Coturnix japonica: one gene and its partners. The main gene of each other region encodes a partner of the protein of the gene in region 2 in a complex. Links are inferred from orthologs where the notes say so. Each region holds a gene or a part of one and is shown on either strand. Other genes may lie near its edges.

Region 1 (8,499 bases), on a different chromosome or scaffold from region 2:
CCATTTTCCACAGCAAATGGAGCAGCTGCAGACCAGAGCCCTCTGCACACAGCTCAGCTCTCACCTGGAAGCGCTCTGGAAAGGCTGGAGGACCCGGCTGGGCACCTGAAATCCTTCTCACACCTCGACCATGACAGCCTGTATAGGTACTTCCTACATCTTGAAGTCAGCTAACAACCCCTTAATTGAGCACTACAGCACATCAATTAGCTCCATATTAGCTTGCTCAGAAATACTCACTTGGGCTGCACTCCCTGGCTCAGCACCGGTTCCTGTATCACAGGACTGTAACCCCTTCTCACAGTCCCAACTCCTCTCCTGCACAGTTTGCTTTCTTTCCAGCCCTCTCCAGTTAAAGCAAGCCCTTCAAGCTTTCATTCTCCAATACAGTTTTGCTTCCTTTGCTTTACAACTGTTCCAGGCTCACCCTTTCCTGAATGCAGGTGACAGATCAGATTCCCACAGGGGTTTGGGTCTGGGGCCAACCTTCCTGCACTGACACTGTGTGCCCCCCTCCCTCACTTCCCACAGCCTGACCCTGCTGCCAAGAGGCACCACATCTCCGTGCACCCCCAGGTCAGCTCTCATCTCTGCTGCTCTCCCACCCGAAATAAGCAATTGCATCTCAAAAATAAAAGAGCAGCCCCCACACTCAGCTGGCAGCACAGTACTTCAGCACGGACACAACATCCTGTACCAGACTCACAGCAGCTGCCCAGCCCAAAGCTGCTCATCTCACCCTGAGCACGTATCTGCATTCCTGCCTGGAAGCACAGCGAGCCTCTGCCCCGCTCTGCACTGCGAGCTCCAGCCACGCAGCAACCACTGCCAGGCAGCCGTCCCTGCACACAGCAGCACTCAGACACTGGCAGACAACCCCACATCCTATGGAAAGTTTTCCTGCTCGGCGTCAACACTTGAACTGGTTGTGCAGTGAACTCACTAAGTTCACTGTTACCTCATCAGGAAACCGAAGGAACATCCACATCCTTCACGCTGGATGTGGCTCCTGCACGGAGACTCTCCAAGGCTGCCAGCACTGGAGCAGCCAGGTGTGGGGACACAGCCCGCAGTGTGTGAACGCTGGGCTGATCTCACATTCACTTCCAGCTGTTTGTTATCATCCCCAACAGCGAGGAGCCTTTTGTCGGCGGGTCCAACTCTTCCTTCTTTTCCCCTAAGCAATCAATCAATCCCAGCCGTGTCCCACGGGGCGCTGCTCCTTCACGCAGGAGTTCAAACATCGGCGCTTCCTGTGGAACAGCAGATCCTTGTTGGACACAACAAGAGCCTTTTTGTGCAGAGCCAACAATGCTGCAGCTCCTGGTGAACAGCGGGGATTTGGTGACCAACAAATGATGAGAACCGGGCGTGATTTTGTAAAAATTTTATTTGTCAAAGGAAAAAAAAAAAAAAAAGAAAAAAATAAAAGAAAAAAAATAATAAAGGCAGCAGCCAATTGAAAGCCTACGTCATCTTTAGCTCCAATTTCCGCCTTGGAATTTAGAGAAACAACTTTTGGTGTTGAAACAAACCCCCCTTTTTCCCCATTCAACGTTTACCATCTACTCGTGCTGAATCCTTCCAAGGAGATCGCTCCAGCGTTACCTCTCCAGGTCCTCGCTTTGCTCCTTTTACCAAAAAATGACAAACTCCATCGTGCATCATAAGGGCTCCAATCGTCACAAATGGGAAAAGAAAAAGCTTTGGAATAGCCAATTGAGTTGAATAAAAAAATCCACACGAATGCGGTTTGGTTGGGGCAGGAATCCACTCCTACGTTCCTGGTAATCTGATCCCGCTCCATGAATCCTTGCCATTCAGCCTCCCTATCCTATCCACATTATGATTTGAATCCAATGATCCAGCTCCAAGGATTGGGATCCAGTGAGCCCTCTCCAATCCAAACCTTTATAACCAGCAAAACCAAAAAAGAGGAGGCAAAAAGTTAGATACCGCAATGAAAAAATAGGATTCTGGGGAATGATCAGTTATGTTTGCCATCAATTAATACAGATGTACAGTAATAACTATCAATTCCCCAAAACAAGCTTCTGAATGGTGATGCTATATCTTTTGTTCTCTTTAAGAAACGTTAATTATTTGGAGGAAACACTGCAATATTTACATATGTCAACTAAAAATGCCAACATACTCATTGCTCGTACGGTGGTGCTCTACAGCTTCTGTGGTTGCAAAAAATGTTTATGAAATTGGAAAAGTTTTACTGCTAAAGCTGTCACCTACTGCGCCTCTCAGCTACGGCCAGCACCCCCGGCTGGAAGGTAACAGAGGAACTAACTGCAGCTCTCAATACGGTGAGTCAGCTCTGAATTAGGCTGGGGAAGGGCTGACAAACGATTCCCAACCAGGTTCTCTTAGGATTTGGGTTTTTGGCTTTTTTCCCTTTCATTCTGATACTTAAAAGAAATGAAATAGCAACGCTGTATCAGTCACACAGAGGACATGCAGATTTTAGCAGTATTGATATTATACTCCCATTTAAAGATACCCTTGATCCGCAAGCGTGGAAGTACTGCGGGCCGTTAACGCTTGGAACCAAATGCCGCGGGACAAACCAATGCTCCCACCCCTGTCCCGGTTTACTCCTTTAAAAAAAGACTAGAATGGAATAAGGAATTACACCGGCAAGTACTGAGCCACAATTGCCAAGAGGGTTTTAAAGAACAGAGCAATTGCAGCCCGCAGTGACCAAGAGGTGCCTGAAGAAGTGACACGCAGGCGCACGTTCTCAATTCACCTGTCTCAGTATAAGGTCAATACTGCCAAGTTCATCTGTGACAATAGCACTTGGAGTCATACCATTGCCTCCATTATTGATCTGATCCTCCTCAATCCTCCTTTTGACAATCCTAAAATGATTGACATGTGCTCCACAATCCTTTAATCCAAAGCATTCTTAATCCATCTCTTCAGATATGTCTACAGAAAGACACACGAAAAGGCAAGATAAAATATAAGATCCCCCAGAAGAGACAAGTTAGCCACAAACATCCCAACATCCCCAGCTCGCATGAACCATAGCTGAACACTGAGACATTTACACAGCAATACCACAGTTTGAAGAGTGTTGGTATTTAACTAGAACTAAATTGAAACAATCCTGACTGACATCAATTAAAATACAGTTTACCAAAGACATGAGGGGGAATGTTGTTGTTACGGAGCAAATACTCACTAGGGATTTTACACAAGAATGCAATTCAACACTTCAGCCAATCTGAATAAAACAGCTTGAATTTAAAAAAAAATAATATTGAAAGACTGTACTGAGTAAAGGAAAACTGTGTACAACATGGGGTTCTACAAAAAGATCAGAGCTAGTGATCGCTTATGTACGAGATCGGGATCTGCTGTGGCGGGGAGAGTAGCGTGGAGATCCTCTGCTTCTTCTTGGGGAATAACTGCGGCTTCTGCTGTTGCTTCGACTACGGCTTCTGCTACGACTACGGCTGCGTGACCGAGATCTTCCATAGCTTGGACTTCTTGGACCATCAACTTTAACACGGATGTAGGCAGTTTCTCCCTATTGAATAGACACAACTTTCGATTGAAAGGTCTAGGCTTCGGGGCCATCGTTTTAGGCATGCTGACAGACTGCAGATATCTTTACTAAGGCACAGAAATAGACATCAAACTCTTAATAAAGTCTATTTCGTGACAAACTGACAGCAGACTCAGTTTAGCTGCTTCGTGTATTAACGCAATGATCACCACACATTCCTTACCTTCACATCCTACTGTTAAGCCCTTTGTATCCAATTCTGGCCAAAAACAAGTAAGCGTGAAACCTACCTCATGAGATCTAAACTTAGTGTTATCCAGTTTTCGCACAGCGTAGGTCATATCTTCCTTCCGTACAAACTCCACGACACCAGTTCCATCTCGGAAAACATCAGCATAACATACATCACCTGCTTCACGCATGTGATCCTTTAAATCCTGCCAACTTCCACTTGGAGGCAGTCCTGGATAAAAAGCAACACCTGGCTTTAAAACCCAATGGTGCGATCATATCATAGTATCACAGTCTCGTGCGGGTTGGAAGGGACCTTAGACATCATCGAGTCCAACCCCCCGCGATTTGAGCCTTCTGTGTAGCAGAGCGGCACTTCTGCCACTTGCGCCACAGGGGATTCGAACCCAAGGCCTCCGGTGTTGCAATTCCAGCATCATCCCGCAGCACACGAGCAGAACACCCTGCACACAGCCCACAGCATCCAGCACCCCTCCCCCATCCCGAGGCTTCGCAGGGAAAAGCGGAGCCGCGTCGCCCCCCGCGCACGGCAGCACGAAGGACCCGGGGGAAGAGAGCAGCGACTCACCCGAGACGATCACTCTGTACTCCGATCGCCGGGACGGGGGGCCGTATCTGCCCCGCGGGGCTCCGCCCCCTCCGCCGCCGCCGCCTCCTCTGCCGGTCCCCCGGCCGCTGCGAGGGAACTCCACGCGGAGGCGATACCCATCGTAATCGTAACCGTCCCGCCCGTACACGGCGTCCTCGGCGTCCCTGCGGGTCGGGACGGGCGGTGAGCGCGGCCGCGCCCTGCCACGCGCCGCCCCCCGCAGCGCCTTTGTTCCCAATACCCGCGGCCCCACCCCGCCCCCACCACCACCATCAGCACCACAACCACCATCACCGCCATCACCGCCACCCCCAGCGGCGGCACCGCGCCGGGCCCGGAGCGCAACGAGCCGAGCGTGTGTGTGTGTGTGTGTGTGTGTGTGTGTGTGTGGAATAGCGCGCAGCGGGAGCGGCGCCGCGCGTGGAGGAAGGGAGGGAATGGAGGGGGGGGGTATCGGCGCCCGGCGGAGCCGTTCCCGCCCGTGCCCCAGGGCCCCGCGGCGCTCACCTCGGGTCCTCGAACTCCACGAAGGCGAAGGGCGGCCCCCCGCGGCGGTTCTTCAGGTCGATGTCGCGGATGGCGCCGTATTTGTAGAACACGTCCTCGATGTCCTTGGTGCGGATGTCGGGGGGCAGGTTGCCCACGTAGATGCGGCAGTCGTTATTGCCGGCCGGGCCGCGGATCACGCCCCCTCCGGACATGCCGAGGTCGGCAATGGCTGCGGCGTTCAGGGGCCGGGGCGCGGAGCGCGGGCGGGCGGGCGGGCGCGGGGCCGGGCCGTGCGGACGGGAGCGGACACGGCGACTCCAGCAACCGCCGCTTCAAAATGGCGACCGCGGCTCCCCTCGCGCTCGCAGCGCGCACTGATCTCGCGCACTGATCTCTCTCACCCCGCGCCGCAGCACCGCCGGGCCGCGAGACCGCAATGCGTTCCGAGTATCCCGCCGCGCTCTCGCCCTCGCGCATGCGCGGCAGCGCGGAAAAGTAGTTCCTCTCTTTTGCCTTTCGCCTCCGCTGCTCCGCCAAAGCGGCTGTGGCCGCACAAGAGGCTCCGCTCCTGCCAGCGAGGTCGGGATGAACGTGAATATCCGCCTCCGATCCCCGCTGTCCGCACCGGGACCGCCGCGCTTCTTTCCGCTGCCGTCTCAGGGCGCCGGGCCGTGTGACGTCACTTCCGGTGCGGCGCTCGCGCCAAGAAGTCCCGGCCGGCGCTGGGGGTGTCCCACAATGCACCGCGCCGCTCGGGGCTCTTGGCGCCAAGGCGCGGGGCGTGGCCCGGCCCACAATGCACCGCGGGCGGGTCGGGCCGTGCGCAGCGCTGGGCGGGCGGGCTCGGTACTGAGCGTCCATTCCCGGCCGGTCCGAACCGATCCGTGTCCGCACGAAGCGCTGCGGGCGGATCCGCCCTGCGGCTGCACGGGGTGCACGGGGAGCGGGCCGTGTGGGTCCGTCAGCCGCTCAGCGGACACTGTGTGGGACGGTTGGGACGGGCTCGGTGCGGAGGCAAAATGGCCGCCCCGAGGGCACGGAGCGGGCACCGCGTCACCGCCCGCCTCAGGGGAACGCGGCGGGGCGGGCAGCGGGACGGCAACGGGATACGAATAAAGGGCAGGAACACGGCAGGGTGTGATGGGGACTGAGTCATGAATGGAACAGCAGTGCAAACACCGGGCGGGTGGGAAACGAGCGGAACTGGGGGCGATGGCGGGCGCTGTGTACGGGTGTGAGCAGAGCCGGCCTAAGGGCACAGCCTAACTATGGGCAGAACCTTCCTATGAGCACAGCCGAACTATGGGGGCACGAGAATAACGCCGTGCTGAGTTTGTTTTCTTGATGAGGTTGTAATTGATGTGAAGGCACAGTAACACACCGGGATGTTACCCTTGTTACTCACACGTCTCTGACATTTCTTCAGGCAGCAGATGTAATTTTGAACGTATAAATTGCTTTTAAGTAATGAGGGTGCAATTAGATGAGCCAGGCTTTGGTTTAACAACAAGAATTCTTTTGGCCTGTAGCTGCTCTGTGGTGACACAGAAACTCCAACATCCACTTTTCTTTCTTTAATACAGCATAAAGTCTTTGCCTGACCCATGAGGGCAGAGCAGTCCCTGCTCTGTTGGCTCACACTTGGCTGCCTGGACGTTGTGCTTTGCTTTGCAGATGTGGCAATGCATTGAGGGCTGGAAGTGGCACTGGGGCACACAGTGGTTGCCTGCCTGCATCCAGCACCGCTGAGCCTGCCTGGTGCTGGAGGGCTGAATCTCAGCACCACAGGGATGGGGAAACAGCAGCTGAGCATGGAGAAAAGCCATTATGCTCCTGAGTTGATGAGGGGAGTTTGAGGAATGTGTCCGAGCATTTAGCAGTGGCTGTTGTGCTCACTTTGTTTTCATTTGTTAATTCAAAGCGTGTATTCCTCCCACAGACAGTGACTTACAGTTAGAAAACATCCCATAGTGAAAACATTTTCATGACAAAGTTATAGTGTGCTTGGTTATTATCAATGCCTTTTATTTTTGTCCCTGTGGGTTAAAGTGCAGTAACGTCCTCTGCTCTAATGGTTTCTGACATTAGTGATGCCTGTGCTGCATTGCTGGTGCTTTAAAGACTGCTGTCAACCACAGGAGGATGTGATGAGCAAAGCCCACCAGCAGAAGCGGTGCTTTACCCACATACAGCTCATGGTTCTGGGGGATTTCCTGCATCTTTATGGAGCTTTAATGCTTTCCAGTGTGAACTGGTTGCAAAGACCCCAAACAAACTCTCCCCATGTCTGGAGAAAGCTGCAGCCTAAGCCTGGGAATGGGGTTTAATAAATGCTGGATGTTATTCTTAAAGGCGTCATAAGATAATGGTGAATCTGCCTGGTTTGCTAAAACCCTGCTGCACAATTTCTTTTGTGTGTTAATAGTCCTTATAACTACTTTAAATGATTGCCTTAATTGCTTTAATGAAGTGTCTCTTTATAGAATTATTGGATGTTTTCTTTCTCATTCCCTTGTTGAGCTCTGTGTTATCAGTGGAGCACTTAAAGCATGTGGATAAGCTGCAGAATGTTGGGTTGCATTTCCAGAGCTGCTTTTGGCTTTCTGGGAAAAAAGAAAAGATGTGTATGTGGAGAATCATTAAACATTAATTATGTGGGAAATAAACTACGAGGTAAGAAATGGCCAATAGCAAAACAAAGCCAAACAACACCAAAAACGTCAACCAGCTGTTGTAAAATGACGGGTTTTTGTTCTCAGAATGGAAGTGAAGACAGTGAAGACCCTGCAGGGCTCTGCACTGAGCTCATCATTCACTTCTACTGATGACGAAACAGAAGCGTTGCAGAGTGGTGGCTTTCCCAGGGCTGGGGTGGGAGAACCTGCTCCTAAAGCGCTGCAGAATTGGGCAGGGATTAATCCTGACTAATCACACTGTGCTGCAAAATAACAGCCCCTAAAGCCCTGATTGTCTGCGAGAAAAGGGCCGTTTTCACACAGCACTGTGAGCTGGAACAGTTACTGTAGAACTGAGCTGTGCAAACTTCCTGATCCATGACATTGGTTCTGGGGAGCTGGGTCTGCTGGCAGGTCAGCAGTGACACACAGACTGTCTCCATGGCTCTACGTGTTGGGCTGGAGGTGTCTCCATGCTGTTTATTTGTGATACCAAACTGCAACTGGTGATTTTTTCAGAGGAACTCAGTGTAACAACAGGGCAATGAAAGCCTGCAAGGTGGGAAATGCTTCCCATAAAGGGAAGAGTGGCACAGCTCATGTTATTGATTTAGATTGATGCATAAGCAACAAGATTTGTTGTGCGCATGCTGTGGCCTGTCCTGATGCACACCTTGGCTGTGCAAATTCTGCCTGGAAACCATCCTGGGTGAAAAACACGGATGGAGGGTGGGGTGAGGAAAGCTGCTACAAGAGCTGGCAGAGATGCAGCCCCTGTGCATTAGGAGGAGGGTCATCACAAAGACTTGAAAGGTGATGGAAGTTATTTGCTAAGAGTGAGGCTGAATATACCTGCAGGGCACACAGTGCTGCCATGGGGCACTGCCCCACTGCCTGTGCTCTGTAGCTGCTCCCACACGTGATGCCTGTAGCTGAGCTAACAGCACAAGGATGGTGTGCTGGGTGGG
Region 2 (7,810 bases):
ACAGAGTAATCTGAAGATCAGTGATGCTTACTGTTGCAGTGCTGCCTCAGGGTGGCTGTGACCCTGAGCTGTCTACAGGAGTGGCAGAACTGTGATCTCAAGGCTACGTGCCAAATCTGAGTCCTCCAAAGCTGTACCTGTGCCTTAGTTAAGATGCAGTCAATCTGCCAAAATCATTATAGAGCTGAGAATTGTTGAAAACAAAGATGCATAGTTCAGAAGTTCCTCTCATACCTGCATGTCTTTAGGCATGACTTCTCCTTTTTCTTCCTTCTTTGTGGGTCTTTATAAGTTGAGAGCTGTGTGAGGGCGTAGATGGATTGACACTCAGAAGGCATTTGGTCATGTCATTTGTAATGACATAAGAATGTTGCTGCTGCAGAATGAATGGCAGATACTTGGTAAAGCAGTAGAGAAGACAAGGAGAAAGGTGAGAGGAATAAACGAGCCAAGAATGTTAAGTGCTTCTACTGACGAAAATAACTTTGTCTATAAACTAGATTATATTAACTGAAAATAATGCATTTATGCATTGTTGCAGTAAGATCGGTATAGGTCTCCTTCATGCCCCTGAAACAGTTAATTTTGATAACTTACTCAGGATCTAAGAGCCCAGTTTTCAGAATGTGAAAATGTTAATGATCTCTCAGTTATATGGGTAGAAACAAAAGCCTACAGGAAAATACAGATTTGAGTGTCATTTACTCCAGATTACGATGCTGTCAGAGCAGAGCAGGAGGCAATCTCATTGTAACTGATAATGAGGGAAATCTGATGCATCAGGAAGATCAGGTTTGTGTTGGCGGAACTGATTCAAAGCAGAGTATATTCTGAAATATGTAAAGCTGCGTCTTCGTGATGCTCTCTCACTTTTCCTCTGTGTGCTGATCGTGCTTTCATATTGTTTCTTAGTTGTCAAGAGAAAAAGCACCACCAGGTGCTGCTTTGGAATGAAGGGCAGTCTTAGCACAGCAGGGTTTGCATCAAGATTTCTTCACACTCAACAGTCTCCTTTTCTCAGTGCACTGAAAGGGGCGATTTCAAATTACTGTTATGTCCTGTTAATAGTCAGGCTCAGGATGAGTGGGAACATGCTGCAGAGCATTCAGAGAATGAACACAGCCAATTAATCAGGCTGCTAAGCAAGGAACACAAGATTGGAGCTGAATTTGGAGCTCATTAGCCACAAGGCTTGAGATGACAACTTGCTGCTTTCCTTAGGCGCACTACAAAACTGCAGTAGGTTGGGATGAAAACAGTTCTGCTTGCTAATGAGTGCCAGCATCTGGCAGTGATAGGGGGGAAAAAAAGCTTTTCTGTTTTAAACTGGTGAAAGTAAAATTTCAGAGCAGGAGCATATGTGAGAAGCAGGCTGCCAAAGTCTGTGGGTTTTGATGGTCTGTTTTCCTGTTTCTTTGCTGAAGAATACTGCTAGCATCAGCTCTATTTTGCTCTTTGTTGTGTTTCGTGCCTAACTGTCATATTATTCCTCCTCAGATGGATACTCTACCATCGATCACCGGGACAAGGAGCGCAAATACAAGACCAGCGATAACACAGGGGACGCCTCTGAGAAAGAACCTTTAAAAGTGAGATTCCCCTTATTACTGAATGCTAGTTAGTGCCTTTAGAAGAAACAGAGCCTGGTGTTCTCAGCAGGAACAGGGTAGTTACTCACTAGAGGGCTGTAAAGGGGTTTTTTGGTGTCTTTGCTTTTTTTGCGTGCCCAATGTTAAGATAAAAGCACCATTTCCTAACCTGGCACTGGATAACTAGAAATAAAAACAAAATGCTGCTTTCCAGTGCAGAAGTAAGTGCAGAATGGTATATTCTTGTAAATGAATGAGGTTGTAAAAAAATAAAGTTTTTGTTCTGTGGACTTTGTTCAGGCAGCATTCCCTTGCCCTATAGTGAATAGCTGCATTCAATCTTTATTCTGAGAACGGTCACTTCAGAACATCACACGGCTTTATTGTTTTCACCATGAGATGTACATGTCAGCCTGTGCATCTGTCAGAGCAGCGTGGTGAGCAGCATTCATTTCAGCAGCACTCACTCAGAGTCCTGACTGCAGGCGATGGGTGTGGGCCAAGGAGGTGGAGAGGAAGGAGAGATGTTCGTACTTCTGAGTGTGCGCCTCCAAAAACAAATTCAGACCATTTTCTAATTTAACAGCAACAACAACAAGTCTTTCTTCACAAAGTGTTTTGCCTGGAGGGTTGTGTGCAGATGTATCTTAGTGGAGTCTGTTTAATTTCTGTTGCACTGCTGTGCCTTTTCAGTAGATCTTTTTGTTTAAAAGTTGCTTAATGCTTCTAACAATGCTGTGGCCATAACTTCTCCCTGGCCTCAAAACAAGGCTGTTTTCCCCTGGGTAGGTCATTTCTGAGGGGAAAAAAAAGATTCAGGGAACCACGAATCAGCGATAGGAAGTACTGCTGTTAGTCTGTAAAAAGCTGTCTGTTATAACCTTCAGCATGTTGCTGATGATATCGGAAGATCCAGGGGATTTGTGTTCACCAGAAATGATTAAACTTGAGTCAGTTGAAAGAAAAACACTATATTGAAGTGAAATTAAAATGTGATTTGCAGAAAAACCTTTCTGTTATTTGTGGACCAAGAAGGCGTCCTTCTGTATCAGCCTATGTTAACTTGCCTGTTTGTGCATTTCCTTCTGTGTCCTCCCTTTCTGTGAAGGTTTATGCTGGAGAATGGCTTAAATCCAGCTGCAGTTTTTAGCACAGTTCACTCCTTTTCAGTTTGCCAGCTCTGGGTATGGCTGCATCCTGCTGGAGGCTGCCCACTTTAACTTTTCAATAGAATTGCTTATTGTCTTGTGTCAATGCTGCAGTGCCAAACATGGCTTCCTGTTTTGAACCAGCGAGCCCTGAGTAAATGGGCTGGAGTATTGTGGCTGATCTGAAACACTGCTGATCTCTTAGATTCAATGGGTAGCTCACTTCCCACCCCTTTTCTCTTTTGAACAGTTCTAGAAATAAGCGAATATCAGGGCTGTAGATTGTTTAGGAAGCCTCTGCCACTCAGAGCTCTTTGATAAAAGAACAGCCATTACTGTTTTCCTGTTTAGTCATCTTGCAGCTTCTTTGCTAAGTCCAGATGTGTGGTGACACCCATTAAAGTGATCCATTGGTGATCACCTTTCTGTCTATACCTTCCCAGTACATTTCTGCTTGACAAGGTCTGGCAAAGACAGAAGGGCGTACTCTCACTTTGCCACTTGGAGGTGGTTGTGCTCTCATTTGTTTTTTTGCAACTGATACAACCTGATTACTGAATTCACAGTGAGTGCTCCCTCCTCCAGTGTTGCTCTGAAGTGACAAGAGATGGCCCAGCTTGAACCAGTATTAATGTTATAAACTTTCTCTCCCCTCCTAACAGTCTAATGTGTCATTATGAAGGTGCAGTGAGATCAGATGCATTGAGTGACATAAGTATGTTGATCAGTACAAGCTGGACAGAAAATGTCTTTCCAAGAAAATAGGCTAAGGCAGAAGAGTTGACAAATGCTGGTTATTTTTGCCACTCAGAGTTCATGGAAGTGATTTCCAAAATCGTATAGCTCAGCCCAAACTCGCAGTGTGAAGCACAACCCAGAGCTCCAGTGAGCAGCTGCTTTGTGTTTAAAGGAATGGGATAAAAAATACTTCACCTCAGTAATGTGGCCACCATAGTTTGTGCTGCCTCCTGGTTTTAGGGATAAAGGGCTGTCTGAATTCAGCCTGTTATATGACTCAAAAGCAGTCACTGGTGCATTTTCAGCTGGAGCAAAGTCTGAGTAGCTGCTACTCTTCCTTTTCCCTGTCCTGAGAAAGAGAACTCTGGGGTCTTCTAGTTTGTAAACTGTTCAATAACTGTGGCTTTGAGGCTCAAGAGTGGCCAAACACTTTGAATAATGATGGCAGGGAAGTGCAGCCTTTGGCTGCTGCAAGTGCTCTTGTTGGTATTGTGCCTTTGCTGATCTTGTTTCTTTCTCCACCACTAATTTTCCTTTGTGCTCCTTTGAGCTGACTTGTTTGGTGGTTTTGTTGATTAATCCGCTCTGTTTTGCTTTTAACTCCTCACCCTGTGCTGCAGAATGACACAAATAGGAAAAACATTAACAGGAGTAACAGGGCTTCGGTGAATCTGGTGGATGCTCGTGACATTAAACCCCAGCCTGTTGACTCCTGGGTCTAATTTGCATGCATGGTAGGTCATTTTAATGGTAATTGGTGCTAGTAATTAACTTGTCTTGTGCATGATCTGTATAGCTGTGGGATCTCTTCAAGGCTAACTGCTAACTGAGTCCTTTCAGAGAAATGAAAATACATTTGAAAACGTGGTATTTATATTATTCGTTGTGTCTTTAATGAAATGCACTCCAACGCTTCTGTTTGATTAAAAAACAATCTGTCAAATATCTGGACAGCACAGTAGTATCTGGAGTGACTGGCTGTCAGCCAAAATGTGGAAGATTTCTCCTGGTAGGCCATGGGAATGAAATTAAATAGTGTGTTTCAACTTCCAAGCATTTTTTTTTCCCTTTCAGACTCATTATAAGGATTAGCCTGAGACTAAAAAAATAAGTGTATCCTTCTCTATTTATGGATGTCCCCTGAAGTTCCCTACAATTACAAGGCCTGCCCATCTGCAGGAAAGCTGCTGCCTGCACACATTTACTTTGCAACGGGGGGTGGTTTTGGTTACACAATTAACGTTAAGGCACAGTTCCCACTTCCCAAGTCTTTCTTATTCTGTTGTTAAAGAAAGGCGCCTTTTTGTCGCGTTCTAGCTCTCTGCCTTTGCTGTGAGCCAAGTCCCTCAGTAATGTCACTGTCCTTTCTTTATTCCTGCTGCTGCTAATCTGTCTCCTGCTGTTTTGCTGGACAGTGAATGCATATGGGTGGGACTATGAATGAAGTTTGTGTTCACTTTTCTCCAAGTCAGACCTTTCCACAGACCCATGTATCGGGGATAGATTGGGATGTCCGTTCATTGTTCTACCACTAGGTGATGGAGATCACCACCTATGCCATGTCGCTTGCTGGTATTAATCAGTTCTGGCTTTATTTTGCAGGGCTAGAGTTCAACCACATTTTTTTTTAATTGAGGGGGAGAAAAAAACATTGAATTGACACAGAGGATTTCATCAGTCACCACTGCCATTCCGATCTGGAGGGCGCTGCATCACTGACAAGGCTGCGGATTCTAAGAGAATGCAGGGAGAAAACACAACTGACTGCCATTGCCAACCCCAGAGCACCATGCCTTACAGCAAGACAGTTTGCTTTTTCAGTCAGTTACATTCCCACCAGACACAGCCGCCTCCTGCTCCCTCCCACTCCTGCAAGAATAAAGCAAGCAAGAAAAGAGAATCCAAGTTCCATCTGACTGGCTGCATTCTTAGGTGACTCTTACGTGTGAAAGGTGCCAAGAATGAGAAGTGAAGGTCATGCAGCAGCAAAGAGGACAGTGAACTGCAGAGTATTTGAAATGATACCGTAGGTGTAGTCATGAAGATAATAGCACTTTTATGGTTTGGGTCCCATTGTTTTCTTTTTGTTTTGGGGGGTTTATTTTGAGCTGTGAATCTTAACATTTTTAAAGCGTTTTGGAAAATGTTGAGGTTTTCTTTGTTATTTCAGCAGGAATTGCAGGAATGTTGAGTGGGTTTATTGAATTTCAGTGAAGAAAGAAAGAAAATACAGAACAAAAAAATACTAAATGCTGGTCAAATGAACTGGAGAGTAAATAACAGAATCAATGCAAGCTGTATAAATCTGCTTTTAGAGTAAGCTATATCAATCACAGTGCTATATTATCATTATAATCTGATGTACAGTACTTCTGCCTTTTGAATTCTGTAATGGCTCTGCTTTTATTTCCACATGAAGGTTTTAGTGTCCCCAGTTCAGAAATGTGTGCTGAGAAATGGAGTTGGCTGGCTTTTTATTTTCTTAATCTCAAAGTTTGCAGTAAGGAGCTTTTATATTTTAATTGTACCAGTGTTGCATTGATGACAATTAACAATTTCTTTTGCTGTAGCTGCTAACACATTGGAAGAAATAGAAGCAGGATGTCTTATTTTGAACATACTATACATTTTAGGTGAGTCTGTCATTTATATTTGCTGGTAAATTTATCACTGTTGGATCCGTGTTTGCTTGGGGTTGTAGATCCTGATGGAAAATGCCATAAAGGGAACAGATGAGACATTTTTAAAATCATCATCATTTCTGCGTTCCCTTGATTTTGTTTTGAGGTTACATATTTTAGGTGGTACGAAAATCATCCGTGTACAAACGCTCTCCTCTTAGATGCCATGGTGTGCTCTGGATAAGGCAGAATTTTTACCTTGTGAGAACAGAGAACATACACTGCATATACAGATCTGATAATGCCATAAACTAAGTGACTTTGGATCACTGGTTTTTCTCCAGGCATTGGTCGAGGGAGGGCAGCGGAAGAGCATAGGAACCAAATATCTCACCAGTAGTATCAGAAGGCTTTTGCTGATTTTGTTTGGTTGCCACATTTCATTCTAAATAAGCTCCTAAAATGGTGTGACTGGAAAGCACATTTTTGAGCCTAGCAAATGTCATTTGGGGTTTTCAGTGCCTGCCATTTCCTTTATAATTAAAAAGGGGAAATATCCAACGCCCTTGCCTCACCCAAAATATTACTGTAAGAGTAAACGTCAGAAGTTTTTGTTAAAAAAAGAAAAAAGAAAAAAAAATTTAAAAAAAATTTAAAAACACACAAAAAAAGCAAGTACCGAGAGCTTTCTATCTCCATGAGTATATTAAAAATTGACATGAATACATATATATAAATAAATAAATCTATATATCTATATATATATTGTTGTGCAAAGGATAGGTTAATAAAACCATGTAAAGTAGTTTGCAGGAGAGGGAAGCATTTGTTGATTCAGGGAAAAAGACTGATGCCAGAAGCTGTCAGTGGTTTGGATGATACATGTGCTCCTTCACCCTTCTCCCTTATGACCCTCATCTTCTATGTACATTGCAGTAGTCACTTCTGGATCATAGAGAAGGTGAAGTTGCTCAGAGCAAATTAAGATAGCAAATATATATCTGTGGGGTTTTCACCTGCATGAGAGTCCTGTTGGACCAAAGATGCTCAGCAGATCAAGGGAAGCAGAGATGCATCTGTGATTATCAACATCTGTGTCGGAGGCAGTGTCTCTGTGTGTAGACATAGTGCGGCAATGAAACCAGATACATAGTCTGACTGTATATTATATCAATGGTGCTCTTTTCATACTTGTTCTGCCAATACGCAGAGACCCTTTTAACCAAGCTACACAGAAACGTTTTATATCACTTTTGGTTATGTACTTGGTGTATTCTTTTTGTATATGAAAGGATTTTTTTAAAAACGTTCAGCAATTAGCAATGGAACCTGCTTTGTAGCTAATTAGAACAGTGTAAGAAAAGGGCCATGCTGTCAGTCTGTCCCTGATCTACTTCAAACCATATACTTACCAAAGGAGTCTGAGCAAAAGTTCATTTAAAATAAAGACCTGACTGTTGAGTCTCTGCTAAGACTTTGTGATTTAGTTGTTGTACAAATATTTCAAAGCCAGCAAGAGGTTAACAGAGAAAACTGCAGGAAAGGGGGAGTGATATGACTAGGGGCCAGTTATGTCCATGACCTCCTGTGCCAGGTATCATATGGCTCTCAATGGGGCACACCAAGGACACTCAGAATCTATATGGGTATCTATTTTTGTCTCTGTTGTTAGTGAATCAAACTAAAAACACTAAGGAAAACTTGAGAAGCAAAT
Region 3 (6,824 bases), on a different chromosome or scaffold from region 2:
GGCTGAGCGCACAGCGTTAGTAGGGCAGTGGGGCAGAGAAAAACACCGCTTAGAACATGCCGGTCTGATCCGGAACCGGTTCCGTTGCACTGAGAACTACGGAAGATTTAAGTGCAAACGTTGAGGGCATGGGGAACAGTGTGACTTTAATGGGGAAAATAAACCCCCTGAAGCACACAGGCCTTGTAACCCACACATAGAAGCAAAATAGAAGCAGGGCGCTGCATTATTTCACTGCCATCATTAAACACAGATGTGAACCAGGAATCTCAGACCTTCAAACCCTGCACTGTGTGTTATTCAGCTCAGGGCTGTCACACAGCACCTCTCAGCTGCGTGCAGCTCAACCAGGGGTTGGTGCTATTCCCTGTCAGAAAACCTGCTTGTTCTTCACAGCTCAGAGTGCTACAGTGACAGGAGCTTACAGAAGTATAAATGTTAAGAAAATAATGGATTACAGTGTAATTAATAGTAGCACAAGTTGACTTGGGGGGAAGATAGCACAGTAAGATGGGGAAAAGGCAAGTGAGGTTCAAGAGGCTTGAAATCACAGACTGAGATTCAGAATAACGTGGACAGAATCTTGCCCAATTCTTACATTAGCAAAGAGTGGTTAAGCATTTTTACCATTAAAAAATGATTATTGTTAAAAGTGGGAACTGAAGGTTAACATTCAGTTGAATTTTAAGATACTGTTGTTGAAAGCATTCAGTAACAAGCCCAGAATTGAGTGTTTCTGCTTGACCCCAGCAAGGAAATGCCTCAGAACCCTCCTGTGCTGAGCAGTGAGGCTTCAGCTGCACACAGGGATTGTACAAATGTCAGGAACAAAGAACCCCCCCATTCACTCAACAGCCCGCTTCCCTCCTCCCGCTGCCGCAAAGAAATCACCGCTCAATACCAGTTTAAGTATAATTTGAAGTTTTAATACTAAAGATCTTCCCATTTCTCTGAAGCTCATAGTAAGCCTGCATGCTAACTCACAAGGCCTGACAGCTGCAGACACATTACACTCAAGCCTAGTCTGCACATATGCAACAGTTACGGTGCTGCAAAAAAGCTTCCTACACTGGTGGCAGAAGCTCGTTAGCAACACCACTTGAGCAGAGCTTTGGTTAGCGAGATGCCCAGCTACACCATCACTCCAAGGAATCTTCTCCAAAATAAAGAAAACAAACTGGCCCTATGCTAATCAGACAAGGAAGAAGACCATTTCCAACTGCTATTCAGTAGCCAGCTTTGCTTTTCTTCCCCACCAAACAGAGCCTGCCATGCTAAGCGATCTAGAGCCCAATCAAGGCAAGGCTGGTTTGTTTTTAATATAAGCTTAAATGTTTAATCAGACACAGTTGAGAAACCTCTCTAGAATATAAAAACATTTGACATTCCATTAGTGTAAAGTTGTGCACATGTTGAGAAAATTGCCATCTGAAAGAAAATTCGGTCTTCAAATATCTTTATTGGAAGGCCATGCACTGCCTTCTGGTACTGTATTTCAAATCACTGTACATTTACTTTGAAAACACTGTCTGCATTTTCTAGTACAAAAAACTAAAAATTGTTTCAGGAATGTAGAGAAATATTCAACTTAAATAGCGAAAAAGTGCACCATAATTACTGCTGCACTGCAGTCATTTCTGCGCTTCCCATTTCTTAAATAACTATCCTGTTCTGAGATAACACACAATATAAAGAGCAATTATGAAAAACTGAGACATTTAAATACACTAAGTTATTGAGAATAACTCGCTGGCATTGGGTAACCTATCATAGGAGCAGCACCAGTGGCAGGATACGCATACTGCTGCTGGTTCATGCCATTGTGCATATTTGCAATGTTACTCCCGTACTGCTGATCATAGCCATTCTGGTAAGCTCCTGCAGGGTTACCGGCCCTGAAGCCAGCCTGCATGCCTGCAGCTGCAAAGCCATTTCCAAAAGGAGTTCCATTACTGAAACTCTGGGCGCTGTAGGCCCCATTCTGAGCTTTGGCTCCAAAGTCTCTCTTTCCTAGTGCACCATAAGTTCTCTCAAAGTTCTCCCTCTCTCTAAAGCTACTAAATCCACCCCTTTTGCCCGCAGAGTATCTGTCACGTCGGTCACCTCGGGAACGACCTAGTAAAGAGACAAGACAAGTAAGATATCTGATAGATATCAGATAGACAAGAGCAATCAAGGCTGCATTTAATTAGCATCTGGTGAGTTCAACTCATGAACATTCTTTTCCTTTGTCAGCAAGTCAAGTCTACTGAAAAGGCTTTCCAGTTTTTAACTGGACTCATTGGGCACAGAATTACATGAAGATTTACATTTACATGAAGCTAGAGCCCTTTCCCTAATGAAGGCAGGGTCATACACTCTCCCCTGTAATATGAGCAGTGGCATGAAGGAAAGCTGCTTTGGTCTCACCAATAGGAGTTACATGCAGTTATCTCCTAACTGTAAGAGGAAGCCAAACAGCTGAGCCTCCCTGCAAGATGTTTTAATGCAGAACACATGAGCCTGAAGCCCATCTTTGACATCAGCAGCCACAGCTCACAAGATGCTCTACAGCACAGCATTGTGAGGGCAGGTTTTGCTCACAAGCGTTTTAACACCTTTGGAGGTCACCATAACTGGCAAGTAAGCTGGATATGAATCCATTTTTGAGAGGCTAAAGATTGCCAGTTTGTTCTGAGAGAAAAGCTGTGCATCGTTAACAATAGCACTCACCTGAACCTCTGTCTTCAATCAACTGAAGCAACTTAGGGTTGATGGCTTGATTAGCCTCCCGAAGCACAGAGATGAGGTCATTTACTTGCTTAATATTGTTAGGAGTAAAGAATGTATATGCTGTGCCTGTTTTGGTACTGCGGGCAGTTCGTCCAATTCGGTGGATATAGTCCTCAGAGGAGTTAGGGTAGTCATAATTGATGACAAATTTCACATCTTCCACATCTGTAAAGTGTTGCAGTGTGGCAAAAAGCGAGGTACAAAGTTTTGCACACCACAACAGCCAAATCGAAGATAAACGTTAGACAATAGTACTTTCAATGAAATAATGGCTGCAAAGAACAGTGTTAGAATTATCCATTTCTGCACGAATATTGTGGAAGAGGAAGATATGCACACTCCGTCTGTTCCCGTCTTATCACCCACCCTGTGATCCAAAACCTTACCATAAAGGAGTATGCATTTGCTTGTCATTCCCAACTCAAGAGTCCCCTTTACAAATCATCAAGTGACATCTGAATGCTTCTTGCAGTAGGGCCACTAAAGCTCACAGCAGCCTCTTCATGTGCTCATTTGAGGACCTTAGAGTAAAAACATACAAGGTCCTTCACATACACACTCATTAGAAGCTCAAAAAAAATGGGCCACACTGCTCGTCTTGCCAAGACCTTTGAACTGCAGCTGCAAGAAAAACATACCTGTCCCCCAAAAGTCACCAAGTTGTTTTTATGCACTGTCTCGTCTAGGCAAGCACTTCCAAGAAGCCAGCGTTCACTTGAGAATGTGTCTCTCTCTGGCAGGTCTCGACATGACGACTACATATAGGTGGAGGAACTTCGACTTTCAAAGGCATTTAGAAAAGCCAATGCTTTCCTGCCCCACTTGCTAAGGTGAGAGGTGGACTTTTGCTCAGATTTCATGTGCCAGTACTCACCAATTTGTACAAGGCTTAGTACGTTTTAAAGCTGCTCTCTCCATTTCATGGTTAGAAAAAAAATTTCACTGAACATTCAAGATTTTTCTTTTCCTCAACATTTCAAACTCACCGAAATTCAAAGACCCACAGATCACAGCAGACAGTATGCACAAAACTAACAGTACTGCACCATGGCAAATCATGCAAAGCATGGAGAGAAGAGAAATACCAGGGCAAAGTGAACTGTGAATGAGGCTGCTTATTTCATGAGAGAACAGTTTATGGGGGAGTAGTTTAAAGGATGAACTTTGCCTTTTGAAGATTACTGGCACACAATGCTCTCAGTTTTCACCTCTCTATTTGACTGGAAGCAGCCAGCCGATCACTTCCACTAGTCCTCCATCCCCCTCGAGTCCTCCGATTGTCATGCCTAGGCCTTGCCACAAAGACTGCACCTTTATGTGAAGAAAACTTAGAAAAATGCAGAGGTTAAAGAAAGCAATAGACTTTCTTTAAATAACTTTGGGCAACTGGCATTACGAGTTGTACTAACCTAGACCTCGGGATGCAACATCTGTAGCAATCAGGATTGGTGCTTTTCCATGTTTGAATTCTGTAACACAAGCAACTCTTCATCAGTCTCTTTGCATCAAATACCAGATAGACAGCAGCCTGCTTACCAAACTGCTGAAATACTCACCATTTAGAACCCAGTCTCGCTCCTGCTGGCTTTTATCACCATGAATACCCATTGCTGGCCATCTGAAAATACAGAAGTTGATTAACCTCAAATAATTGAGTACTTCCATTATTATGACAGCTACTGGGACATTCTCAACAGCTTCTGGATTTAGCCTTTCAGCTGACACCTGGTCAGACAGCTGGACACCATCACAGGTGGTCACTAATTAGACCAAGCGTGCTCTTGATTCTTTTGGGGTGGATCATTTAAGTTCGTGCTTCAACTTACCCATCTCTCCTCATTTTCCTGGTAAGATCATCACAACGTCTTTTGGTTTCCACAAAAACAATTGTCTTATTTTCCTTCTCACTCATTATTTCCTCCATCAAACGAATAAGCCTGTCATGAAGAGATAATGAAACATTCACTACCCACACTGTGCAATTTCTTTCCCCTTTTAACATGGAGGGCTTCTAGCAGTATTAGATTAGCATTTAATACCCACTAAACTCATCTCGGTTGATACAGAAGTTAAATCAACCGTCAGAAACATACTGAGTGTTTTACCTCCCCCAGTAACTACTCACTTGTCGTCCTTCTCAACGTCATGACACACATCAACAATCTGCAGGATGTTGTGGTTTGCACTCAGTTCCAATGCACCGATGTTGATGTGGACATATTCTTTTAAGAAGTCTTCAGCCAGCTGCCTGACTTCCTTTGGCCACGTGGCACTCCACATCAGAGTCTGCCTGTCAGGCTGGAGAGAAAGATTTTATCAGTACAAAATTAACATATCATTAAGTAAAACATAAACACAGAAGTCTACCCAGAAGTCTGAGCTAACTGCGCTATCCTTATCCTTGTTTTAACAAACACTGCTGTTTCTGTAGTACAATTAAATGCAGCTACCATCTATACTCACTCTTATCTGATCCACAATTTTTCTGATTTGAGGTTCGAAACCCATGTCAAGCATTCTATCAGCTTCATCAAGCACTAGGTAAGTGCACCTCCTGAGGTTGGTCTTCCCAGCTTCTAAGAAGTCTATAAGTCTTCCAGGTGTTGCAATGCAGATTTCCACACCTAAAAAAATTACAAGAAAAAAAAAAAATCAACCAGTAAGTCAGATAAGCAGTTTTCGCATCACCTCACACAGATGCATCCAGATTTATCCTTACCTCTTTCTAGATCACGAATTTGTGGTCCCTTTGGAGCACCTCCATAAATACACGTAGACTTCAAGCGACATGCTCTGCTATATTCAGCAGCTACTTGCTGCACTTGCTGAGCCAGTTCCCGAGTTGGTGCCAGCACAAGACACTAGAGGTAAGATGCCCAGATTTAGTTCCATAAATGCAATTTCTAGTCTTACATTTTAACTCAGAAAGTTGTTATACACCACTTCAATGCCAGACTGACTGAAGTAGAACTGAGTATCTCAAACCAAGTAAACAAAGTTAAGTAACATCTCCATTACTAAACACAAGCCAGTGATGTGTGATAAAATACTCAAAATTCACTGTAGCTTCTAGTGGATGGCAAGTTCCAAAATGGAAGAGCAGCTCTGTTCTGTAAAACTTTATAGAACCGTATCAGAGCTTATGGGCTGTTCCTGGGAGACTAGAAAAAGAGAAACCCAAAACACCACACATGGGCCACTTTAAAAGGTTTCCATGATTAAGAACTATGCACTCCTATTAACATGGACAATTAGACTGTGAGAAATCCACCTTCTCTAGCAGCTAAGGTCCTCCTTCAGTTCAGAATACTTACAATAGGTCCATCTCCTCTCTCCAGGAATGGCTGATGATTTATATGCACAATAGCAGGCAACAAGTACTGTTCAGAAGAAAAAAGCCACATTATAGTTTCTTCCCAGGAGCTCAGCCTGCCTTACACCAGGCTGTACTTTCATTGCTGGATTTCAGCAGTACACCACATCATAATCACAACTTACAGACAGCGTTTTCCCTGATCCAGTCTGTGCAACTCCAACCATATCCAATCCACTCAGGGCAACAGGCCATCCCTGTGCTTGAATAGCAGTAGGCTCAGTGAAGTTCTGCCTCTGAATCACCTCCATAACATTTGCTTGAAGAGAAAATTAGAGCTTAACTCACAAGTTGTAAATCAAGACAGGAAAAAAATAAAACAATATGTTGGCCAGCACTTACCAGGAAAGTTAGCTTCATAGAAGTTTATGATTGGTTTTGGACAGTTATGGCCCCTCACTGTGACTTCTTTGCTTGACCTGTACTGCTCAACCTCTTGCTGCAAAAGAAAAACCTCATTACTGGAAACAGCTTTGGCACGGAAGTTAGTGAAGTTACTGCACGCTGGGTCCCATGACCTTAAGCATGTTTGTGCTTGTTTACTTCTGCGTGAGCTGGGTGGGTACATACCGCAGTTCGTCTGACTACATCAGGATGTTCTTGATAGAAGTTCTTCTCAAATTTGGGCAGTTCATCTAAATTCCATTTCTTTTTGGTCAGCTTTTCCCCGGGGTTTCCA
Region 4 (8,323 bases), on a different chromosome or scaffold from region 2:
ATGTGAGTGGGGGGCACTGTCTTGGCAATGGGGGGGGGGAGGCTGCTCACAGCCCCCACCCCACTATCATCCTCTGTGGTTGCCCCCAGGCTGGATGATCGATGAGAACATCCGTCCCACCTTTAAGGAGTTGGCCAATGAATTCACCCGCATGGCACGCGACCCCCCCCGCTACCTGGTCATCAAGGTGGGTGAGAGCCCCCCCCCTCAGCCCCCTTGGGATCCCACAGCCCCTCATGTGCCCGTCCCCACAGCAGGAAAGTGGGGCCGTGCCGCCCGCCGAGCCCCCCACCCTGAGCGACAAGGAGCTGGATGAGATGGAGACGCTGGAGCTGGAGGAGGAGGAGCTGGATGTGTCCTTCGGCCTCTGCCCCCCCCGGCCACGGGGCAGCTGCACCCGGGTGAGCCTCCTACCCCATAACCCTGGGGCCACTGATGTGGTTTGGCTGCATCCTGGGCATTGGGTCCTGTGACGGGTATGGGGCAGAGTGTGGGTCTGGGGTCCTCTGTGGCTCCCCTAAGCCATCACCCTAGTGGGGCCCCAGCCCCATTGCCACAGTGGGTAATGGCCCAGCTTGATGCCAACCCCCCTCTATGTTCCCCCACAGAGCCCCAGCCTGCTGAGCCCTCCAGCTGGATACATCCCCATGAACCAGCCTGGCCTCGGCAGCCGACAGGTACCTGGAGGGGTAGGGAGGAGAAAGAGAAGGGTCTGGGGTTGGGACGAGCAAAGGGTTTGGGCTGCATTGCATTCCATTGCATTGCAGTGGATTTCATCTCAGTTCAATTCATTTTATTTCATTGCATTGGAGTTGGGCTCAGGGGTGGGAGGGATTGGGGGGCCTATGGGGTCCTCCCAACTGCCGTGAATGGGGGCCCTGCTTCTCTTTCCTTCCTGCAGGGGTTGGATTAAAGGGTAACTCTGACTGTAGGCTGGGCTACCCCCCCCCCAATCACTGCCATGTCCCACAGGGCACTGGGACCCGTCCACCACGTCGCAGCCGCCAGGAATCTGTGGGGAGGACGGTATCAGAATCATCCGAGGGTCGGGGCACGGCCTCAGAGTTGGACCTGGCCGAGGGGCTGTCGCTGTCGGGCAGCCTCTGCCGCAGCCTTCGCTCCAGGGGGGACAGTGCCTACCTGTCCCAAAGGGAGAGCTTCCCTCCCCCACCCCCCAGCTCTGAGGGCAGCGAGGAGGACGCCAATGGCTACGTCACACCCAGCTGCGCCGGACGGGGTGAGGGTCCCAGCTCTGGGGGTCTCATTCCTAATTGTGAAGGGTCCCTTCCCAGCAGGGTTTGGGATGTGGGTGGGGGTCTCTCCTTGCAGAGCATCTGGGGGGTTCCCATAGGTTGGGGGTTTTTGTTCCCAGAACTGAGTTTGGGGTTCCATCTTTGCAGGGTTGGGGTTGGAGGGCTCAGCATTTGGCTGGGTGGTCCCTTCCCCAAACCCCTTCCCTAAACCCCTTCCCCAAACCCATTCCTGGCACAGCAGGGCCCCCCCAGGACTCAGCCCCAGTCCTATGTGCAGAGTGGGGAGATCTGGAGGGGCACAACCACTGTCTGACCTCCACTCCACAGAACCAGAGCCCACAGGGGGCTCAGTACCAGAGCTGGACGAGGAGTACGAGTACATGAACCGGCAGCCTGGAGCCTCCCTACAAGCCCCCCCACCACGGCCAGCATCGCTGGAGGAGCTGGGCTACGAATACATGGAGGTGGGCTCAGAGCTGGGCAGCCCCACAGGGCCCCCCCTGGGCCGTGGGGAGGAGGAGGAGGACTACGAGTACATGAACAAGCAGCCGCGGCTGAGCCGCTCGCTGGGCAACATGGTGGGGGGGCTGGGACCCCGGCATGAGGGCTGCCCCCCCCGACACGACGGCTACACTGACATGAGGCCTGGGGAGCCCACCCCGGCCCCAGCTGAGGAGCAGGGCTATGAGGAGATGGAGGCGGTGCTGGCCCCCCGTGGCCCTCCCTGCCCCGGCTGCCGCAGCCCCCCCGGACCCCCTCCAACCTGCATGAAGCCCCTGCGCAGCCTTGAGGCCTCAGACTGTGCCTTCGACAACCCCGACTACTGGCACAGCCGCCTCTTTGCTAAGGTGGATGCCCAGCGGACTTAGAGACCCCCCCCCCTCAGCTGTTTACACTGGATATGAAGGATCATCCCCCCTACACTGGTGCTGGATGGAGGGTGTGAGACAAAGCCCCATGGGAGACATGAAGAATGGGATTGAGGGGGGGGGAGGGCAGCCCTGCCTGGGTTTGGGGCTGATTCTGAACCCCCCATTGGGAGGGGGGGCTTGGACCCCTCCCCTCATTACTGCCATACCCCAGGGCTATTCCCAGCACCCCCCTACCCATGGTGCTCCCCATGTGCACGGCTGCAGCAGCAGGTCCTGGCTGGGGTCGGGGGTCCCTGCTTTGAGTTGGGGTCCCTGCTTTGGGGTTGGGGTTGGGGGCCCTACCTGTGGGGTTGGGGTCCTCCCCTCATTACTGCCATACCCCAGGGCTATTCCCAGCACCCCCCCCCCCCATGGTGCTCCCCATGTGCAGGGCTGCAGCAGCAAGTCCTGGCTGGGGTTGGGGGTCCCTGCTTTGGGGTTGGGGATCCTGCTTTTCAGTTGGGGTCCCTGCTTTGAGTTGGGGTCCCTGCTTTGGGTTGGGGTCCCTGCTTTGAGTTGGGGTCCCTGCTTTTCAGTTGGGGTCCCTGATTTGGGGTTGGGGGCCTTACCTGTGGGGTTGGGGTCCTCCCCTCATTACTGCACATACCGCCAGGCTTATGCCCAGCACCCCCTCCCCATGGGTGCCTCCCATGTGCAGGGCTGCAGCAGCAGGTCCTGGCTGGGGTTGGGGATCCTGGCTTTTTCAGTTGGGGTCCCTGCTTTTTCAGTTGGGGGTCCTGCTTTTTCAGTTTGGGTCCTGCTTTACTCAGTTGGGGTGCCACTGATTTGGGGTTGGGGGCCTTACCTGTGGGGTTGGGGTCCTCCCCTCATTACTGCCATACCCCAGGGCTATTCCCAGCATCCCCCCTCCCCATGGTGCTCCCCATGTGCAGGGCTGGGGGCGGGGGTCCCTGCTTTGAGTTGGGGTCCCTGCTTTTGGGTTTGGATCCCTGCTTTGAGTTGGGGTCCCTGCTTTTGGGTTGGGGTCCCTGCTTTGGGGTTGGGGTCCCTGCTTTGAGTTGGGGTCCCTGCTTTGGGGTTGGGGGCCCTACCTGTGGGGTTGGGGTCCTCCCAGCTGCCGTGGATGGGGGCCCTGCTTCTTTCCTTCCTTTAGGGGTTGGATTGAAGGCTAACTCTGACTGCAGGCCGCGCTACCCCAGCACCCAACGGGGCTCTATGGGGCAGGCCTGAGCCGTGCCCGTAGGCCTCATAGAGGCCTTTTCAATGCACTCCGGTCACCTCCCCGCTCCAAAGGGGGAGGGAGTCGGGTTTCGTTTGTTAACGTGAAAATAAACACGATTGGAATAGAACCGGCTGCTGGTGTGTGATGTGATGGGGGGGATATAGGGGCTAAAAGGAAAGGCCTACCAAGGGCTGAGACCCCGACCTGAGCCCACTAGGCCCAACACAAGTCCTTCACTTCCGCCATCCGGCCCTACTTCCGGTTGGATAATCCGCGCTGCCTTCTGGGAACGGTAGTCCTTAGCTGGGCCTTGCCGCGAGTACTGCCGGGAGTTTATGTAGTCCTGAAAGTGGGAGGAGACTCGGCTTCCCAGCGTGCCCCGCGCGGAGCCCGCGCTCCTGCTCAGCTCGCGCTCTCTCGCTCGCGTTCCCGGGGTCTCCTCAGAGCGGCGGCGGCGGCGTCGGGGGGGGGGAGAACGGGCGGCACCGGCGGCAGCTCCGAGTATGTCGGCCGAGGAGGAGGCGGCCGAGCTGACCATCGCCGAGGACCTGGTGGTGACCAAGTACAAGATGGGGGGGGACATCGCCAACCGTGAGTGCAGGGCCGCGGGGCTGAGGGCTGGGGGGGGGCTGCGTGGCGTTAGGCCTCACGGTGTGTGTGTGTAAATAGGGGGGGGTGGTCCCGGTAATACACACCGATGGCGGCTGTTGAAGGGCCGGATCCTGGTGTTAAGGGGTGGGGAACCGCACGTGGCCTCCGCTCCCCACGTGCACCGGGATGGGGGGGGGGAGGGCAGGGCAGGGCCGGGCCCGGCGGGATCCACGCGGTTTTCCCCCGTCCCGAGTGGATCCGATCGGTTCCTCCCGGTATAAACGAGTGCTGGGCTCGGCCACGAGGCCACGGAGCCCCCCCGGTCTTTTGTTCCCACCCCCCCCCCCTCCTCCTGCCGGGATCACTGCCATGAACACTACATGGACACTGCCCTGTCCCCCCCCCCAACCCTCTGCTGTTTGCTCGTTTATTTCTGCCCACAGCCGTTCCCTCTTGGCCCCTTCACGGTGCTCCCCGAGCCATAAGGACGTGGGATCCTCTCAGGAGGGGCTATAGGGGCCGTACTACCTACATACAACGCAGCCCCGGGGTGGGATGGGGTCATTGCGCTGTTGTTGCTGCCCTGAATGCAGCTCGATTAACAGCAGAGGGTTTCCCTGCTTGGTAGAGTGGTGCCTATGGGACACAGAGCAGCTCAGAGGGGTTCCCTGCTTAGTGTGACAAACACCAGCTCTCTGTCTACCCTTCCTTAGGTAGGTAAGGATAATAATGCCCCTTGTTCTCACCTTTCAGCCCCTTGCTATCAACTAAAGGTCTTTATTACAGCACTCCCTCTTATATTCCTCACCAACATCTGGGACCTGTGGAAAGATTACTGAAGTAATATGAAGCATAACTGCAGTGCTGGGCTCACAATCCTTCCCCTCATTCTATAGAGGCACGTTGACACCCATCCCAGCAGCCAACTACTAATTGTACACACCACAATATGCCCCAGTGTGGGTGCAGCGCTGCCGTACACACACAGTTGTGCAGAGTAAGGGCGGTTTCCTCCTGGTCCCACACGCCCGCGGCTGCCCCTCTGCTCTTTGATGTGCTGTTCGTCTCCCAAGCAGTTTTCAAACCTGTTCCTGTAGCTCTGAGTGCTGCGGAAGGAATGTGGGAGAGCAGTGTTTCTGCTCAGCTCCTTTGTGTGCCAACCCTCCGTGCACCTCGTGAGGCTGCAGTGCTTCACCTGTGCACGTCCCAGCATAAGTTGGTTTGCTCCTGCCTTGGTTCTCAAGAGGCAATATGGATTGAAATGGGTTCTCTGCATATCTCCAGCTCACTCAGTGCAAAGCTGAATCCAGGATGAAGACTAAAGTCATTAACAAAGCAGACTTGGTGCTGTGTGATGAGCTTGGTTAACGTGTTCCATGTCTTGCGTTGCTTTACAGGGGTCCTACGTGCTGTGGTCGAGGAGGCGAACTCGGGAGCATCGGTTCTGTGCTTGTGTGAGAAGGGAGATGCCATGATCATGGAGGAGACGGGCAAAATCTTCAAGAAGGAAAAAGAAATGAAAAAAGGTGAGGCCTGCACACCAACGTGGGTCACTGGGCTGATCCTGCTGAGCTGACATGAGTGGGCAGCAGTGCAGAAACCCAACTCGTCCAGCTTGTCCTGCTTGGAAGCATCACTGCTGAGCTGGTGCTTCCCAGTTCAATGCTCCACTCACTGAAATAAAAGAGTTACTTTGGATAACAGTGTCCTTCCTTTGGGCAAGGCCGGCCCTGTGCTCAGCAATCAACCTGTAGCTGCCATATAAACAGTGTGACACTTGAGTGTGTCACTGAGTTGAGTGTGGAGAGTTGGGGTCCCTTTTGTACACGTCTTACTGCTGAGGATCAATTTGTTTGATAGCTGCTGGGGCAGGAGAGTGCCACACACTGCTCTCCTCGTGCTGTTTCACCAAGGGATTATTCAGTGGGGCACCTTAGCTTTCCAAAGCTCAAACTTAGTGACAATCCACACTGCCTGTACTGTGTCTTCATGGACTATTCTCTTTCTCCTTTACAGGTATTGCCTTCCCAACGAGTATATCAGTAAATAACTGTGTCTGTCACTTCTCCCCATTGAAGAGTGACCAGGACTACATCCTCAAAGATGGAGACTTGGTCAAAATGTAAGCATCTTCATTATGTTTCTCTTGCATCAATGCTTGCTCTTGGCATCCAGGCTTTGCATTTTAGTCCTGTTTGCTGTGTTAAGTACTTCCTCGACGTGTCTAATTACAGAATATAGCAGCTAATCGAGTCAAGCTTTATTAAATATACCTGCATCTTCGAATGCTTTGAGAAGTCACACCAGTTTCCCGAGCCATTAGGCCTCGCCTGTAATTAACTCTCTTTGTGTTGCAGTGACTTGGGAGTCCACGTCGATGGCTTCATAGCAAATGTAGCACACAGTTTTGTCATAGATGCCTCAAAGGTAGGTTGGCCACAGGTTTTCTTTAACAAGGGAAGGGACTAATGGCAGAGCTGGGAAGCCAGAAGTGCTCCTGCTCTCATTTAGATCCCACACACTGTATCTCTATCTTTAGGCAGCCAGAATGGCAGTCTTGCTGATAAGAGGGAAAAGGAGTTGTTCCCTACAAGCCTTTATTTTTCCTCTTCTTTCAGGAAAAACCTGTGTCAGGCCGTAAAGCTGATGTCATCAAGGCAGCTCATCTCTGCGCTGAGGCCGCGCTGCGTTTGGTAAAGCCTGGAAACCAGGTGAGGGAAACAGGGTGTGTGAGTGTGCCCTGATACAGGGAGAGCTCTGCAAAGATGGGCTGTGCATAAAAATATAAAGGCCTGTGACATCGCCTGGGAAGAATGGCCCATCTATGTGGGGAATCTGAAGGCAGCTGTTTGCAGACAGCTGAGTGCTCCTGGGAGCACCAGGGTGGGTAGCAGCAGCTCTGGATCCCTGTAAGGACCCATAGAGGAGCAGTGCTGCTTTTCCCATCCTCTCTGAGCACACAGCTGACCCTCTGTGCCATGCTCAGCTCTTCCTTGCCCACTGTTCAGACACCTCAGCAGCCATAGGCGTTCCCCTTCAGCACCATGTTACTATTACAGTAACCTCCAGCACTGCTCTCAAGCTCCCTGTGTTACCTCCTAAAGGAATGGTGTGTGAGAAGGCACCGGGTGCAGTGCAGGAGGCTGAGCTGACCTCATGTTCCACGTTATTTTTATTGATGGGGGATTAAAAATGGAAGCCTGCCACCATTCCTCCTTTTTTTGGAGGTGTCAGAGCACCACTTGGTTTTATCACCAAACCCTGCCAGGTGAAAGTTAACAGTCGTGCTTCTGGTTTGATTTCTAAACCCTTAATGTGTTTACATGTGTTCTTCATCCAGAATACACAAGTGACAGACGCGTGGAACAAAATAGCCCACTCGTTTCACTGCACACCCATTGAAGGTAAGGGCTGGGGAGCAGCTGATCCAGAGCAGCAATGTTTTAATCGCACACTCAGTTCTCATCTGCCCCCATTCAAACTCTGGGGAGCATTTCCTGACTACAGGTTCTATGTGTGCCACCTCTAAACACAGCAGCCTTTGCTATAGAACCCTTTCAAAACCATAGATTCTTCTTTCCCCTCTGTATTATGTTTAAAAGGTGTGTTCATGTAGAAACAGTAGATGTCGGTTTCCAGGAATAGCAGTTGGCATTCCAGCTTTTGGATCTCCCATTGACCTCATGCCAATCTCTTGGCCCTTTGCTTCAGCCCTGACCACATGTAGTTAAAACCCCTTCTATGAATACATAAAAGCTTGTTTGTAATGCAGGATCCATCGCAAAAGATGCCCATAGATGTGCAGGGTATGTAATTTCCTCCCTTACAACCAGAAACTGATTTGTTTTTTCTTCACATTGTTGATAAGGGGTGGGTGGGGAGGCCCTGGGACAGCTCCTTGTAGAACTGAGAATGCTGAGCTCTTGTTTAAGAGGTGCTGAGAGGGCTCAGCGTGACATTGGCATGTGCAGATGCCTTTCTCCCAATCAGTGACATCACTGATTAGCCACAATTAGACCAGTCTGCTGTTAATTCAATTTCCTGAAGTGCTGTAAAGCTGGCTCGGTGTCTTTGCTCGCCTTGACCCAGCCCTGGAACGTCAGCTCCCTGTTCTTGTGTGGGATGGCTTTGTGGGTCTCTTCAATGCTTTGCTCCTTTCTATGTGAAAAAGCATGGCATGAGCTGCAATGAGGAGGCGGCTGCTCGCGCTGTCAAGGGATTTTGAGCAGCCACTGTTTTGGAAACAGCCAAGTGCTGTAATTATCCAGGCAGTGGCAGCAACTTTAGGCCCCAGCTGATGGAAACAAACAGAGCTGCTGGCGTGGGGGCTCACACTGTCCTTCCTGAATAGGGACACATGTATATGGCCAGGCTGTGGCCTGAGA

What was found.
Region 1: ARVCF (region 2) and SRSF1 share a complex: the UniProt entries of both Homo sapiens proteins name them as parts of the ribonucleoprotein complex. The link is inferred for Coturnix japonica from reciprocal best matches to the Homo sapiens genes ARVCF and SRSF1.
Region 3: ARVCF (region 2) and DDX5 share a complex: the UniProt entries of both Homo sapiens proteins name them as parts of the ribonucleoprotein complex. The link is inferred for Coturnix japonica from reciprocal best matches to the Homo sapiens genes ARVCF and DDX5.
Region 4: ARVCF (region 2) and PA2G4 share a complex: the UniProt entries of both Homo sapiens proteins name them as parts of the ribonucleoprotein complex. The link is inferred for Coturnix japonica from reciprocal best matches to the Homo sapiens genes ARVCF and PA2G4.

The regions. Positions count from the first base shown.
Region 1 is NC_029534.1:7,444,947-7,453,445, reverse strand, and holds SRSF1 (serine/arginine-rich splicing factor 1), read right to left. Parts: upstream 5,225-8,499; 5' UTR 5,069-5,224; coding exon 4,875-5,068; intron 4,532-4,874; coding exon 4,347-4,531; intron 3,990-4,346; coding exon 3,817-3,989; exon of another isoform or gene 3,548-3,816; coding exon 3,353-3,547; 3' UTR 1,373-3,352; downstream 1-1,372. UniProt on the Homo sapiens protein: Plays a role in preventing exon skipping, ensuring the accuracy of splicing and regulating alternative splicing.
Region 2 is NC_029530.1:842,290-850,099, reverse strand, and holds part of ARVCF (armadillo repeat protein deleted in velo-cardio-facial syndrome), read left to right. Parts: intron 1-1,497; coding exon 1,498-1,589; intron 1,590-4,095; coding exon 4,096-4,197; 3' UTR 4,198-4,209; intron 4,210-5,077; coding exon of another isoform or gene 5,078-5,083; 3' UTR 5,084-7,810. UniProt on the Homo sapiens protein: Contributes to the regulation of alternative splicing of pre-mRNAs.
Region 3 is NC_029533.1:7,252,770-7,259,593, reverse strand, and holds the end of DDX5 (probable ATP-dependent RNA helicase DDX5), read right to left. Parts: coding exon 6,716-6,824; intron 6,585-6,715; coding exon 6,488-6,584; intron 6,405-6,487; coding exon 6,271-6,404; intron 6,153-6,270; coding exon 6,087-6,152; intron 5,634-6,086; coding exon 5,492-5,633; intron 5,397-5,491; coding exon 5,236-5,396; intron 5,071-5,235; coding exon 4,898-5,070; intron 4,710-4,897; coding exon 4,599-4,709; intron 4,391-4,598; coding exon 4,329-4,390; intron 4,242-4,328; coding exon 4,182-4,241; intron 2,938-4,181; coding exon 2,713-2,937; intron 2,116-2,712; coding exon 1,733-2,115; 3' UTR 905-1,732; downstream 1-904. UniProt on the Homo sapiens protein: Involved in the alternative regulation of pre-mRNA splicing; its RNA helicase activity is necessary for increasing tau exon 10 inclusion and occurs in a RBM4-dependent manner. Binds to the tau pre-mRNA in the stem-loop region downstream of exon 10.
Region 4 is NC_029544.1:855,659-863,981, forward strand, and holds the start of PA2G4 (proliferation-associated protein 2G4), read left to right. Parts: upstream 1-3,703; 5' UTR 3,704-3,850; coding exon 3,851-3,938; intron 3,939-5,335; coding exon 5,336-5,464; intron 5,465-5,954; coding exon 5,955-6,060; intron 6,061-6,295; coding exon 6,296-6,365; intron 6,366-6,556; coding exon 6,557-6,649; intron 6,650-7,092; exon of another isoform or gene 7,093-7,278; coding exon 7,279-7,342; exon of another isoform or gene 7,343-8,323. UniProt on the Homo sapiens protein: May play a role in a ERBB3-regulated signal transduction pathway. Seems be involved in growth regulation. Acts a corepressor of the androgen receptor (AR) and is regulated by the ERBB3 ligand neuregulin-1/heregulin (HRG).